Linked DNA regions of Oryctolagus cuniculus. The protein of the gene in region 3 interacts with the protein of the main gene of each other region in a pairwise test. Links are inferred from orthologs where the notes say so. Each region holds a gene or a part of one and is shown on either strand. Other genes may lie near its edges.

Evidence for each region. The genes of interacting proteins can lie anywhere in the genome.
Region 1: the proteins of PNMA5 (region 3) and TBC1D22B interact in binary tests that used the Homo sapiens proteins (3 or more experiments, as listed by UniProt). The link is inferred for Oryctolagus cuniculus from reciprocal best matches to the Homo sapiens genes PNMA5 and TBC1D22B.
Region 2: the proteins of PNMA5 (region 3) and ZBTB25 interact in binary tests that used the Homo sapiens proteins (3 or more experiments, as listed by UniProt). The two-hybrid records come from large-scale screens. The link is inferred for Oryctolagus cuniculus from reciprocal best matches to the Homo sapiens genes PNMA5 and ZBTB25.

Annotation. Positions count from the first base shown.
Region 1 is NC_091436.1:132,390,329-132,394,920, forward strand, and holds the start of TBC1D22B (TBC1 domain family member 22B), read right to left. Parts: upstream 3,132-4,592; 5' UTR 3,053-3,131; coding exon 2,997-3,052; intron 1-2,996. UniProt on the Homo sapiens protein: May act as a GTPase-activating protein for Rab family protein(s).
Region 2 is NC_091451.1:5,938,947-5,943,582, reverse strand, and holds the start of ZBTB25 (zinc finger and BTB domain-containing protein 25), read right to left. Parts: upstream 3,132-4,636; 5' UTR 3,039-3,131; intron 2,817-3,038; exon of another isoform or gene 2,573-2,816; intron 2,101-2,572; exon of another isoform or gene 1,888-2,100; intron 1,828-1,887; exon of another isoform or gene 1,640-1,827; intron 1,615-1,639; exon of another isoform or gene 1,131-1,614; intron 1-1,130. UniProt on the Homo sapiens protein: May be involved in transcriptional regulation.
Region 3 is NC_091453.1:131,406,065-131,410,536, forward strand, and holds the start of PNMA5 (paraneoplastic antigen-like protein 5), read right to left. Parts: upstream 3,020-4,472; 5' UTR 2,892-3,019; intron 696-2,891; 5' UTR 554-695; intron 1-553.

The sequences.
Region 1 (4,592 bases), on a different chromosome or scaffold from region 3:
TGAACTCAGGCACTCCCATACGGCATGCAGAAGTCTTAGGTGGCCTCTTAACTGCTAGGCCAAATGGCTGCCCCAAAGCTGTTGTTTTAAAAAAGAATGTTTCATTTGTTTTCAACTTAGGCTGTTTTATTTAATAAAATTCCTATTTGTTATTGCTGGATCATGATCAAAGAAACTGAAAGTAACCTGCCATCACTTTGATTTTTTTTACCTTTTATTTGCAAAAAAGACACTGGTTTCACATATAGGTTGCCATGAACCTAGTACACAGTCCTTACTCTACCCAAGACAAAGTTTTTCTTCGCTAAAACTGAAAGAACCAAAAAATCCCTTCTTGGCTTTTTGGCTAAGATCAAGTGAAGAGTCAAAAGATATATTGGGGGCCGGCACTATGTTGTGGCAGGTAAAGCCGCTGTCTGCAGTGCTGGCATCCCATATGGACGTTGGTTCAAGTCCCGACTGCTCCACTTGCAATCCAGCTCTCTGTTGTGGCCTGGGAAGGCAGTAGAAGATGGCCCACGTTTTTGGGCCCCTGCACCCAAGTGGGAGACCTGGAAGAAGCTCCTGGCTTAAGATAGTGCAGCTCCGGCAGTTGTGGCCAACTGAGGGAGGGAACCAGAGGATGGAGAACCTCTCTCTCTCTCTGCCTCTCCTTCTCTCTATGTGTAACTCTGACTTTCAAATAAATACATAAATCTTAAAAAAAAAAAGTTATATTGAGAAAATGCTCTAACATTTTCCTTTCATCAAGGCACCTTTCCATCTACAAGATGCCTGGGTAGTTTTCTCCCATAATCAGGAGCTCCTGGGGCCTCGCAGATAAAGGCACACAGCTGAACCATATTTCTCTTCAACAATCAAAGTACTAAAAGCTAGTATGAATTGTGCCAGTATTTTATGGTTAGAACAAAGAATGAAGACTTGAACTAGGGCTGGGGTAAGGGATCTGAGCAATATTCTTTTCAACAATTACTTGCTCTAGAAACAGCAATACTGAGCAACTATAATGTGTTAAATAAACGGTCCTAGGTTCTTTACAAATAGGGTATTTTATTAGTAATCCCAGGAACCCTGAGGGAAGTATTTTTATTTCTCATTTCACAGATAAGGAAACAGAGGCCTGGATGTCAATCATTTGTCTTTGACACACAGGTAAGAGAGTTCAAATAATGAGCCAAGGCTTTTTAAACCCTAAGGTTCTCTCCTCTTCCCTTCTGTATTCTTCAAAATGGAAGAGTCAGACACTTGAAGAAATGAAGACTCCTCTCCCAGAGCCCAAGTGCTTGGGCCCCTGCGCCCACGTGGCAGACCTGGAAGAAGCTCCAGGCTCCTGGCTTCAGATCAGCTCAGCTCCAAGTTGTTGCGGCCATTTGGGGAGTGAACCAGTGGATGGAAGACCTCTCTCTCTGTCTCTCCCTCTTTCGGTCTGTAACTCTACCTCTCAAATAAATAAATGAATAAAATCTTTCTTTAAAAAAAAAAAAAAAGACTCCTCTTCCTATCTCACATAGTGCTTTAGAAAAGTTGACTGTTTCAGTATTAAACAGAAGCCAGTGAACAGCAACCAGTGTCAGAAGGCACAAAGGACCATGCCATGTCCCTCATCTCCTGCACTGCTTCCTGTTGGAACAGTTTTCCTGCTGAGTCTCATTATAACCTTAGGACATCAAAATTTAATGATCTCATGATGGAAAACCCCAGAGAACAGCATTTAGCATAACTGGAGAGTTCACTAGATCAGGAAGGAAAAGAAATCAGGTGGCAGGAAGCGATGCTTATCTAAAGACACACAACATCTTTAACACGATATTAACAGTCATTCCAGTGTAATTTCCATGTTAATCTGAGGCTGTCTTTGCATTGCCTTCTATTAATATGTATTACTAAAAGCTGATCCCCACTCCATTTCCCATATGTTTAATAGGATCCTAAATAAGGTAAGACTGCCAAGACACTACGGACTGTTCATTTCTCTTTGCTTTAGAGGAAAATACTCAGTCATAAGTTCAAAGAATTACCAATTATCCCAGAAAGAAAAGAACTGAATCAATTAGGAAAGGTGGCAGGGGAGGGCACAGCCAAACGTGAATTTCATCACCAACTGGACTGTGGCTGGCAGAAATCTTAAATTCACAATTGAAACACACTTTCCTCCTTAGACTTCTAAGGACTCAGCCCAAAACAACCCAAACTGTCAACTAACGGCAGATTGGGGGATGGACAACTGCTAAAAAGTCTCAACACATGCCAAAATGGAAAAAAAAAAAAATCGCTTAGAAGGTCTGCCCTCCACGAAACCACTGAAGAATGAAAGAATTCAGTGTGTGTGCACAAGAAGACCATTACAATGCAGGGGGTGGGGGGAAGAGGTCACTTGGAGTTGGACAAATCCCTAGAAAATGCTAGAGAAAAACACCGACTCTGTGGTCTCCCTGTAAGAAATCCTTGACGGGAAAGGGTCAACTCAAGATAAAGTGGGGTCAGGCTGCAGAACTGCTCTCACTTTTCCTGGACCCCCACCCCCCGCCCCGACCCCTTTCCTCGCAGGCGGCCCCAAGCTCCCACCAGAACCCTTTGGGAGAAGATTTGCACCTGAGGAGCTGGGGGAGCCAAGGAAGGGGCCACCCTCGAGTAAGCAACCACCTGTGCATGCTGGAGACCCCCGAGGAGTTCTCTTCAAAGTGGGAAGTGGCTCTGGGAATGGCCCCCCAAGCCCCGGGGGCGACACGGGGTTCTCCCTCAACTCCTCTGCCCCCTGTGCCCGGTCGTCGGCCACCCCCCAGCTGAGGTCACCTCTCCTGAGACCTCCGCCCTCAGACCCCGGTCTGTACCTCACACCCAGCCGTCCCCGCTCCTCTGCCTGACAGCCGCCCTGCCGCTACCAGGCAGCCCTGACTGCTCGGTCCTGGGGTCCCCACATCAGTCGCAAGATTTAGGGATTAGGATTTGGAAGGGTTTGGTCCAATCCCGGCTCCCTCTCAGCGTCCTGGGCTCACCTCCCCGGCAGCTTGGCGCTCCTCTTCCAAAACTGCTTGCTGTTCTCGGCGGCCATTGCTCTGGCCCGGGGAAGGCCTTGTAGGTGGGTCAGGGGGTGCCCGACGAGACGCCCCCGAGACCCCGCAATCTGAGGGCCAACCCAGGCCGCTTCCCCGTCGCCGGTCACCCGCTCCCAGCTCCTGGGGGCGCCATCTTGGATGTGGGCACCCGCCCACCCAGCGCAGCTGCCATTGGTGGGCTGCGCCAGCCGTGAACAGACGGGCCAATCGGGAGCCGGAATCCTGTAGGATGCTGAAGCCGAACGGTAACGTCAGGGGCTGGGCACCCAGGTGGGCCGGGAAGGCGGAGCTTGAGCGAGCCGGGAGGCGGGGCAGAAAGTTCCTACCCACGAGAGGGAAGAAGCAGGTAAAGAAAGCGACCCACGGGAAGGAGGCACGGGGGCTGTTTTCTTCTGGGGAAATGAGATCCCGGAGTCTGCTATTATTTGTAAGGAGGGCCATAGTGTGTATTTATAAACATAAATCTTTGACCTTGTTGGTTGTGACCCATTTTTAACGACACCCAACTCAGTGACACTTCGGTGATAGCCACCCCTTCCTCGTTCCGGTTCCGTTTAGGTCCGGAGTTTTTTTTTTTTTTTTTCTCCCTATGAAGGACTCAGTTAACCCACGCTCCCTAACTGTTCAACATGTGACAGTGGGTTCAGGAGTCTCCCTCCTCTGTTGACTGAATACTTTTAAAGGATTTGTGCTGTGAATGAAACGCCAAGGATCGAATCCTGTTTTAATCCGTAACTCTCACTTTCTGACAGTGAAAGCCTAGATACTGACTGACAGACGTGTTTAGGGAATGTGGTTGCGTCCATCCAATCCACATGACCAAGTACCCCATTTCTTTAGAGCATATCGTGTATCTCCATGATGTGAATCACCAAGATGCGGGTGTACCCCCACACACTTATCCTTAATTTCCCTTCTTAATCTATTGTAAATCTTTCACCCTTGAATTTGTTCTCAATCTAATTTTGTCTCAGAATGAAATTTAATATTAGCATTTTAAACTCTTTGAAATGTTTTGTCTGCGCTTTGTGCTTTTTTTTTTTTTAAGATTTGTTTATTTATTTGAAAGGCAGAGTTACAGAGAGAAGAGAGAGAGATCTTGATATCTTCCATCCACTGGGTGTCACTTCCCAAATGGCCAAAATGGTCGGAGCTGGGCTGATCTGAAGGCAGGAGCCAGGAGCTTCTTCCTGGTCTCCCGTGCGGGTACAGGAACCCAAGCACTTGGGCCATCTTCCACTGCTTTACAAGGTGCATTAGCAGGGAGCTGGATTGGAAGTGGAGCAGCCAGGACTCAAACCGGTGTCCATATGGGATGCTGGCGCTGCAGACCACGGCTCAACCTGCTATGCCACAATGCCAGCCCCTTGTGCTCTTTTTGAGATTTTGTGGACTGGGGAGAAATAGAAAGTACACTCCATCCACAGTAATTTTTGTTCCAACAGAGGATGGTTGAGGTGGCTGATTGTCTCCATCCCTAGCCCATTGACTTTTCACAAGTTGAATACTTGAGGACTTCCTATCTAAAAAGAAGGA
Region 2 (4,636 bases), on a different chromosome or scaffold from region 3:
GGGAGCGAGATACACTGCAAGCCAGTGCTGGCTGGACTCGGGAGATAAGTGATCTTGTCTTAAACTCTGCTGCTAACGCCTGCCGCACTGCAGCCAGGTAAATCCCTCTCGGCCTGTCTCTTCCCGCTGCTAACACGTCTGACCACGGACACAGGACCACCTCCGTTTTGGGAAGAATTAGAAATCACCAGTAGCTCATAGTAGGTACTCAATGAACAGCAGCCAAACTGGATCCACCTCCACTACCACCAAACCAGACATTCCGGGTAGATCTGGGCAAAAAAAGATAGGGCAGGTCACGTGGGGCCCCTCCCTGCTTCCTAGCTCACCCCAGCTTGATGTTTCACTGCATTCCGACTACGCCCAGTCCTCAGATCTAACCTATCCCCGGTGATGCCTGACAACCGACTCCTAATGTACCCTCAATTTAAACACATCCACATCCACAGGGGCCAGCGTTGTGGCTGACAGGCAAAGCCGCCACCTGCGACACCAGCATCCCACTGTGGGTGCAGGTTCGAGTCCGGCTGCCCCACTTCTCATCCAGCTCCTGGCTAATGTGCCTGGGAGAGCAGCAGCAGGTGGCCTGAGTCCTGGGGCGCCTGCACCCATGTGAGAGACCCGGAAGAAGCTCCTGGCTTCAGCCTGGCCGTTGTGGCCGTTTGGGGAATGAACCAGCGGATGGAAGCACTCTCTCTCTCTGTAACTCTTTCAAGCGAACACATATCCAGATTGCAAAAGACAGCTTCCAAGCCTTTATCCTAAGGAATTAAACTACACTGCAAACGTTATTCTGGCAGCGAATCGGGCTGAATCTGGGGAGGGCGGGGGTAGGGGAAGGGGCTTCAGGCTCTCAAGCACCTCCCGCCTGGACACGGATGCTATCAGTATGCGAAGGCCAAGGCCAGCACGCAGGGACCACGGCTGACTTCCCAAGCCCAGTGATCCTCCGGCAGACGCCACCCCGGCGCGGAGTGGGGTAACTGGCGTGGCCGAGTCTAGGACCAGGCAGCGCGCAGCGGCCCCTCCATCCCGCAGGGGCCTTCGTCTGCAAAACCACGGGGACAACCCGGATTTTCCACACGCCCCCTCTCAACTCCGAAGTGGGAATCCCGCGGGAGAAACACCACCTCGGCCAAACGGACTCGCGGCTCCGGAAAAAAGCCGGCCAAACGGGAGCCGTCGCCCGCGGGCGCGGGTGGCCGTGGGTCGCCTGAGCGGCTACTGACAGCCACGCGTGCCAGGCAAAGCGGCGGGGGGAAGCCGACCCGCTTCAGAAAGAAGCGCTGGGCCGGCTTCAGGGCGAGACCAGCGACGGCGTGGGGGCAGCTTCCTGTGCGGTGGGCGGGGGAGGGGCGGCGGCCGCAGCGTCCTCACGGCCCAGGAAAGGTCAGCCCCGCGGCCCCGGCCTCCCGCGCGGGCGGCGAGGGGCGACTCCGGCCTTGCTCGGCCCCCGGCAGGCATCTCAAACGGACCCCGAGCACCCCCTCTCGCCCCGGCTCCTCGCACCGTCCCGCGACCCGCGCGGCTCGCAGGCCGCCCCCGCTGGCTCGCGGCGGGACGGCCTGAGCCCCGGGGCGGCCCGCAGGGGCAGGGGCAGGGGCAGGGGCAGGGGCAGGGGCAGGGCCGCGTCGCTTACCCAGACGCCGCCGCGCCGGCGGGCCGGCTCCGCCGTGCGGGAGGGGCGGGCTCCCGCGCCACGCAAGGCACGCGGTGGCGCCAGCTCACGCACCGCCGCGGCCCGCTCTCGCGCGGCTTCCCGCGCCGGCCGCCCGGGCGCTGGGCCCACGTGACCCTGCGCCCGGCCGCGGGGCCGCGAGGGGCGCCGCGGAGTGCGTGCGTGCGTACGTGCGCGCGCGCCTGCCCGCCCGCCTGCCGGAGAGGCCGGGCGGGGGTCGGCCCGCGCTCCGGGCGCCGGCGCGGCCGGCGGTCGTGACTGTAGGCGGAAGCGTGGGGCCGCGTGTGCGCGTCACGGCCGCCCCCCACACACACAACCGCGTGACCCGGGGACTTTCCCCAGGGTGTGCAAAAGCACGGGCACCCGTCAGCTCGGGGTCGGGGTGGGGGAGGATGCGCCCGCGTGTCCGCCGCGCGACAGGGGTGAGGGCGCGGGGCCGGGGCGGCCTGGCCGCGGGAGCCCGGGCGGGGCACGGCGGGGGAGTGACTCAGGCAGGGCCGGGGGCGGGCGCGGGCCCCCCGCGCGGCCAGCCCGGGGCGCGGGGACCGGCGCCCCCGGGACGCCCCCGGCCTCCGGGCGCTGCGGAGCCGGGCTCTGACGTCTGGACGGGCGCGGGGGCCGCAGCATCCCGCCCTCGCGAGTCGGGAGGAGCCCGGGCCCGGCCAGCTGTGCAAACAGGAGGAGGAGGTCCCGAGCCCTGCCCTCGGGAAGAGGGGCGCGCGGGTGGCCGGGCCGCGCCGCGGTGCGGGTCGTGCCAGCCTCCCCGGAGCCCGACGCAGAAACTTGTTGCAGCAAACAGGCGACCGCGGGTGCCCCTAGCAGCCGGCGGCGGAGTGGGTGGGCGGGCGGGAGGGAGGGGAAGGCCTGGCGGACGCCGCAGCGAGCTGGTGGGCAGACCCGGAGTCGCCGCGTAAGCGGGGCCGGCTCAGTGCGGTGCGGCGGGCGCGGCTGTGCGGCAGCGGAAGTCCTTTGTTGCAGCACAGCCCCTGGCAGCGCCGGAGTCTCCGCGCAGCCAGCCCGAGCGCCGCGCGTCGCCGCCACTGCAGCCCGCGGCCCGCGGCCTCCGCCCGCCTTTCCCCGCGGCCGATCTGCCTTAAACTCCCTAAAACCTCCGCAGCCCCGGTTCCCGCTGCGGCCGGTGAGTATTTGCCAGCGGTGGGGCTATTTGCGCAACTTTGGCCCGGGCCGCGCGGGGCCGGGGCCGGAGTGCGGGGCGGCCGGTGCGGGGGAGCCGGACGCGCGGGGAGGAACGCCGGGCGGCGGGCGGCTGCCGGGCCTGCGGCGGGGGCTGCGGGGCGCGCCGCCTCTGGGGTCGGAGGGCGAAGCCCCCCGGTGGAGACGTGGTTCCCAAATTAGTTACCTTCTCTCCCCTGCGCCTGTGTTTTTTGGAGGGGGGGGGAGGGGAGGTGGAGGCGGGAGGGCGCGGGTGATTGACGTGCCCGGAGCCCGCTTCTCAACTCCCAGCTGCGGCTCCCGGGCGGGTGGGAGGGGAAGCGTCCCGGAGGCCGCGGCCGCCGACTCGGGCGCGCTCCGAGGGAGGAGGCGGCGGATTCTTGCTGCGCGCTTTTCCCACCCCCTCGCGCCGGCAACACATGCTGCTTGTTCCGTAGAAGTGGGTAGGTCTGGGGTTGTGTGCCCGGAGCGCTCCCGCGGTGGGCGCTCGCCGCGAAGTTGTGCGGGGCCCGGGCGCGGTGCGCGCAGGCACGGCTCCGACCCCGGCCGCCCGTTCGCGGGCGGGCAGCCTGCGGGGCAGAGGCGGCGATGGCTCGTGGGCGCCGGAGCGGGCCGGGGTCGCCGAGGGGGCTTCCCGCGTGGCAGGCTCCGCACTGGAGCAGTCCCCCCCGGGACGCTCACGCCCGAGGAGCGGTCCGAGCGAGCTCTCCGAGGTAACTTGGACTCCGGCAGCTTCTGGCGCTTTGAAGCGGATTGGGTGAGGGATGGCGGTGCTGGGGACCAACTTCAAACGCGATCGCGGTCGTCTTTGAAACGGGAGAACTCAAGTCTATGAAACTTTTTTTTTAAGGTTCATTTTATTGATTTGAAAGGCAGAGAGGGAGGGAGAAGCGGAGAAAAGCATCTTCCGTTGATTCTCTAAAGTTGTGTCATTGCAAATGGGTCTGGTCGGGAGAAAATGAGAATTGAGACAGGAAAAGGTGAGGCTGGCTGTCACGTGCTCAGAGCTTCAAGCTTGTCCTTTGAGGCCCTTGGCCGGGTCTTGACAGCGTGAATGCCTTTGGGAGCTAGCGGGAGGCTTCGTCCCGAGAAAGACGCGTGGCCGGGGGCGCGCGGGCAGCGCAGCCTGCAGCAGGAGCTGGGGCCACGTTGTCATTGCTGTCGGAGAACGGAGCAGGATGGCCTGCACTGTCAAGAGAGACGGGACTGGGAGCGCAGCGGGCGTGAGCGCAGCACAGCCACTTACTCGTGACCTTGTGTTCTGATTGCGCTTGAACGCTGTTCGGTTTCTGCAGGGTTTCCTGCGTCTCCCCTTCTGCCAGGCTCTGGAGAAGACGCGCCCCCCCCCCCCGGCCTGTTTTTTTAAGAGTCTCTGTGCGCGTTCACAAAACCATTTCCCTTTCTGCTGTGCAGGGGTGGAGGAGCACCTGCGTGCAGGCCTGTGCTTCCCTGGCCGGCTAAGCCTTTGCTGTTAACCTGGCCCAAAGGGGAGGAAATCATTCGGGATATAAATGCGGGGGAATTTCCGTAGATTTTTAATTTTTAGCTACAATATGTTGCCCCCCCCCCCCCCCCCACACACACACCAGGAGGTTTATTTGAGAAATGTTTGGTCACTTTGGTCTTTATAGAAGTTTCCTCCTGGTACTTTTCATCTTGTGCTGGTCGCTCTTATAGTGAAATTGCATTATTGTATGCTTTGGGAAACAATTAAAAGTTATGTCCTTTTTCTTAAAACGGAGATATCTTATAAACTTCAGGCACTTTGTAAAGATTCAACCTATA
Region 3 (4,472 bases):
CTAGATGACCTGGAAATCTCTTTGCTGGGGTAAAGGCTGGCAGGAGACTGGGAGCTGTTCTCTTTCTCAGAAAATGTCCCACAGAAGACAAAGGTGGCCAGAGCTCTGTGCAATCTGAGAATGGTAGGTGCAGAAACTACAGTGTTACTATGCTTACTGAGAACAGCATGGACCATGGGTTTCTAGCACAGGGCTGTGTCATGTGGTAAGGTGAAGGCACTTGAAGAGCAACAGGTGATGTCACTATCCTCCAGCCAATGGAAATGTCCTAGCAGCAAGGGAGCTGGGAGAGTGAAGGGGAGATGGGGGTGAGGTGAGCAGCAAGGACTGAGTGCTGAAAAAACAAGTGCTTAAGGTTTCATATTGTGTAGCAGCTAGAATTAGGGGCAGAAAAGGGACCCAACGAAGGGTTCCCACTGTCCCGCTGCAGGAAACAGACAACTGTCACCCTAGGTGTGGCCCTACCCTGCAGAGTGTGTGGATCCTGGAAGGCAGCCTTTGTCCCCTTGTCCTTTGCCAGGGTCACAGAGGCTCACCTTCCAAAATAACTTACTTGACGACTTGGCAGTGTGGATTCCACTGGCCGTGTAGAGTTTGTGATTCTGATGTAATCAGGCACTCAGCTTGCTCTCCAGCTCTGTCCTGTCAGGCAGTTCCCGAACCAGGTTAGATGGATCAGGATCCCTTCACTGGATCTGTCCAAAGCAAGGCAGAGGTATTTCACTGTGGTTACGTCCCAAATGCCCTGCTCAGGATGTGCCAATTTTGAATCTGCTCACGAATACAAGAAACTGCTGCTCCACCCCCAGGGAAAAATCCCACCCACCAAGCCCCAAATCCCACCTCCACTCAAGCCACACCCCCAAGGCCAAGCTCTGCATCCACCTAAGCCTCACGCCTGCCATGTAACTGCGTCCACGCAAGCCCCACTCCTTGCACCAAACTCTGCGTCCACGCAAGCCCCACCCCTGCCGTCTAACTCTGCGTCCACGTAAGCCCCACCTCTGGTGCCAAACTCTGCGTCCACGCAAGCCCCACCCCTGCCGTCAAACTCTGCGTCCACGCAAGTTCCATCTCTGGTGCAACACTCTACGTCCATGCAAGTCCCACCTCTGCCGTCAAACTCTGCGTCCACGCAAGCCCCACCCCGGCGCAACACTCTGTGTCCACGCAAGCCCCACCCCTGCCGTCAAACTCTGCGTCCACGCAAGTCCCACCCCGGCGCAACACTCTGCGTCCACGCAAGCCCCACCCCTGCCGTCTAACTCTGCGTCCACGTAAGCCCCACCTCTGGCGCCAAACTCTGCGTCCACGCAAGTCCCACCCCGGCGCAACACTCTGCGTCCATGCAAGCCCCACCCCTGCCGTCTAACTCTGCGTCCACGTAAGCCCCACCTCTGGCGCCAAACTCTGCGTCCACACAAGTCCCACCCCGGCGCAACACTCTGCGTCCATGCAAGCTCCATCTCTGGTGCAACACTCTACGTCCATGCAAGTCCCACCTCTGCCGTCAAACTCTGCGTCCACGCAAGCCCCACCTCTGCCGTCTAATCTGCGTCCACGCAAGCCCCACCCCTGCCGTCTAATCTGCGTCCACGCAAGCCCCACCCCTGCCGTCAAACTCTGCGTCCACGCAAGTTCCATCTCTGGTGCAACACTCTACGTCCATGCAAGTCCCACCTCTGCCGTCAAACTCTGCGTCCACGCAAGCCCCACCCCGGCGCAACACTCTGCGTCCACACAAGCTCCACCCCTGCCGTCAAACTCTGCGTCCACGCAAGCCCCACCTCTGGCGCCAAACTCTGCGTCCACGCAAGTCCCACCCCGGCGCAACACTCTGCGTCCACGCAAGCCCCACCCCTGCCGTCAAACTCTGCGTCCACGCAAGTCCCACCCCGGCGCAACACTCTGCGTCCACGCAAGCCCCACCCCTGCCGTCTAACTCTGCGTCCACGTAAGCCCCACCTCTGGTGCCAAACTCTGCGTCCACGCAAGCCCCACCCCTGCCGTCAAACTCTGCGTCCACGCAAGTTCCATCTCTGGTGCAACACTCTACGTCCATGCAAGTCCCACCTCTGCCGTCAAACTCTGCGTCCACGCAAGCCCCACCCCGGCGCAACACTCTGCGTCCACGCAAGCCCCACCCCTGCCGTCAAACTCTGCGTCCACGCAAGTCCCACCCCGGCGCAACACTCTGCGTCCACGCAAGCCCCACCCCTGCCGTCTAACTCTGCGTCCACGTAAGCCCCACCTCTGGCGCCAAACTCTGCGTCCACGCAAGCGCCATTCCTGGCGCCAAAAGCCAACCTCTGAAGATCCACTGAACCGGCAAACTGCGTCTTGCGCAAGCGCCATTTCTGGCGCCAAAAGCCACTTTCACCAAGAGCCACTGAACCGCCAAACTCTGTGTCCATCCGAGTGTCATACACTCCGCCATTCATGTGCACGTCCTGCACCCACCCAAGTTCCTCACTTCCATTTCCCTGTACTCCTTTCCCCCACCTCATTATCTTTAACCTCCTGTACCCATCAGGCTGTCCCATTCACTCCTAACCTCACACACCCTTTCCACTACTCTGAGCAGGGACACATCTAGTCAGCAGAGGTAGCTAGAGGCTAGAACAGGAATGGCCAAAGCCACTTTCCCTCAAGGATAAGGGCCAGAACCAGTTGTCCTTACTGCTACGTCTGGGCAGGTTTGGGGTAGAATGGGCCCTCCTAAAGTTCTGAGGCCACTCATGATAACTGGAAATATCAGGGACCCCTAGGATTCTGCTTCCAGGGGAATCTAAGGCCACTGGCCCCTGGGACCTCATGGAGGTCAACCAGGATCATTGGAGGGAATCTGTTGTAACCTTGGTTCCCTTTTGTGCCCAAACCCAGCTCCTTACCTTCTGGGAATGCCTCCAGGCCACAGCGCCCGTGCAGCGTGGCCACTCTGCCGCCGCCACTGTACGGAATGAGCCGCGAGTTTGTGGCGGGAAAGAAATTGTCGGGTAAGCAACGGTCTTCAGCACCGCCCACTCGCAGATGCATCCCGGCAACGTCTACGGCCACGCCCACCCCCATCTCCACCTCCACCCCACTCCTGCAATAAAGGGGTTGTGCCCTGTCCACCGCACGTTTCTCCTCTGAGTCATGACTGGAGGGGGAACAGAGAATTCAAACCATACTGAGAACTGTTGCGTTGCAGAGTTGCTCACAGTCCAGCTTGTACGTGCTCAATAGAGGCCGACAGGACCACCACCTGTCACATCAGTCCCAGCAACCATTGCGGCTACTATGATAGGTGTCTCTCACCCATTGGACTGGGACTGGCTCTGACTTTCACCAGTGGCTCCTCCTGTTTGTGTATTCCAAGCTATGCACACAGGGCTATGTGCAAAGTATAGGTCCAGGTGCAAACTACAAGCTCGGTACCTACTAACTAACCAAACGTCTCTGTCCTTGTTAATTTTTATCCACTGTGTCCTAGGGGACGGCAAAAAATAAAAAATACAGCTACTACCTTCATTTTACAAATGCATGCAATTTTCAAGGCTCATTGAGATACAGGAAACTATCAAGATTTCATTCTCTCATTATTCTCGTGATTGCATGAGAATTACCCACGAGGTACCGAAACTTCTCTCTTTTCTTTCCCAAAGCAGGTTTCTTCCACAGAGGGAAGACTTAGCTGTTTTCCTTGGGGCTACTGGGGACCCTAAAGTCCTGTCCCAGCAAAGGGCACTGGTGGGACACTGGTAGCAGTTTACAAAGTGCACACACATTTCCCAGAGCAGGTGATAGTAGCGGTTCAAGTTGTGAGTCAGGAGGTCTTGGCAGAGCTCAGAGTCTGCAAAAGTACCAAAACTCTAGCGGCTATTGCAGTTCCCTGCCCATGCTTTGTGTAGCACTGCTCTGAGATTACCAGAGCCAGAAGTTGTAAGCTGACAGAACGTAAGTTTTGCTGTATTTGGTACGAATAACAGGCCTTTTTTAAAATCATATTTTAATGAAAATGTGAAAAGCAGAAAACTTTTAAAACTAAATGTCACCAAGTAAGATACATACAAATATTGCATTATTCTCCTTTAATTGAAAATTTTTCCTAGGTGAGACATGACACTGTAACCCAGACCCCTATACTGCGTACTTAACAAGAACATACTTTGGACTATCTCTTAAATTAATTTCCTTCTCCTTACTGGAGAAAATGATTACTTGGCGCTGCCACGTGGTCACAGACCAGACGGCTCTCCTTACAGCAGTCCACAGCACCCTCTGGATGACACCACCAGCTGCCCAGTCTCATACAGGCTGTGAGCAGAGCTGTCCTGAGCACCTCTGTACTTCATTCTACTTCTCACTGCTAGACTTGGCTCCTCCCTAGTCTTTCCTTAAAAACAAAAAGTTGCTGAGGGATGAGGAGGAGATCATGGTGCATTTTACCTGAACCCTGTAAACCCGGACCACCCAGAAGGTTAAGAAAC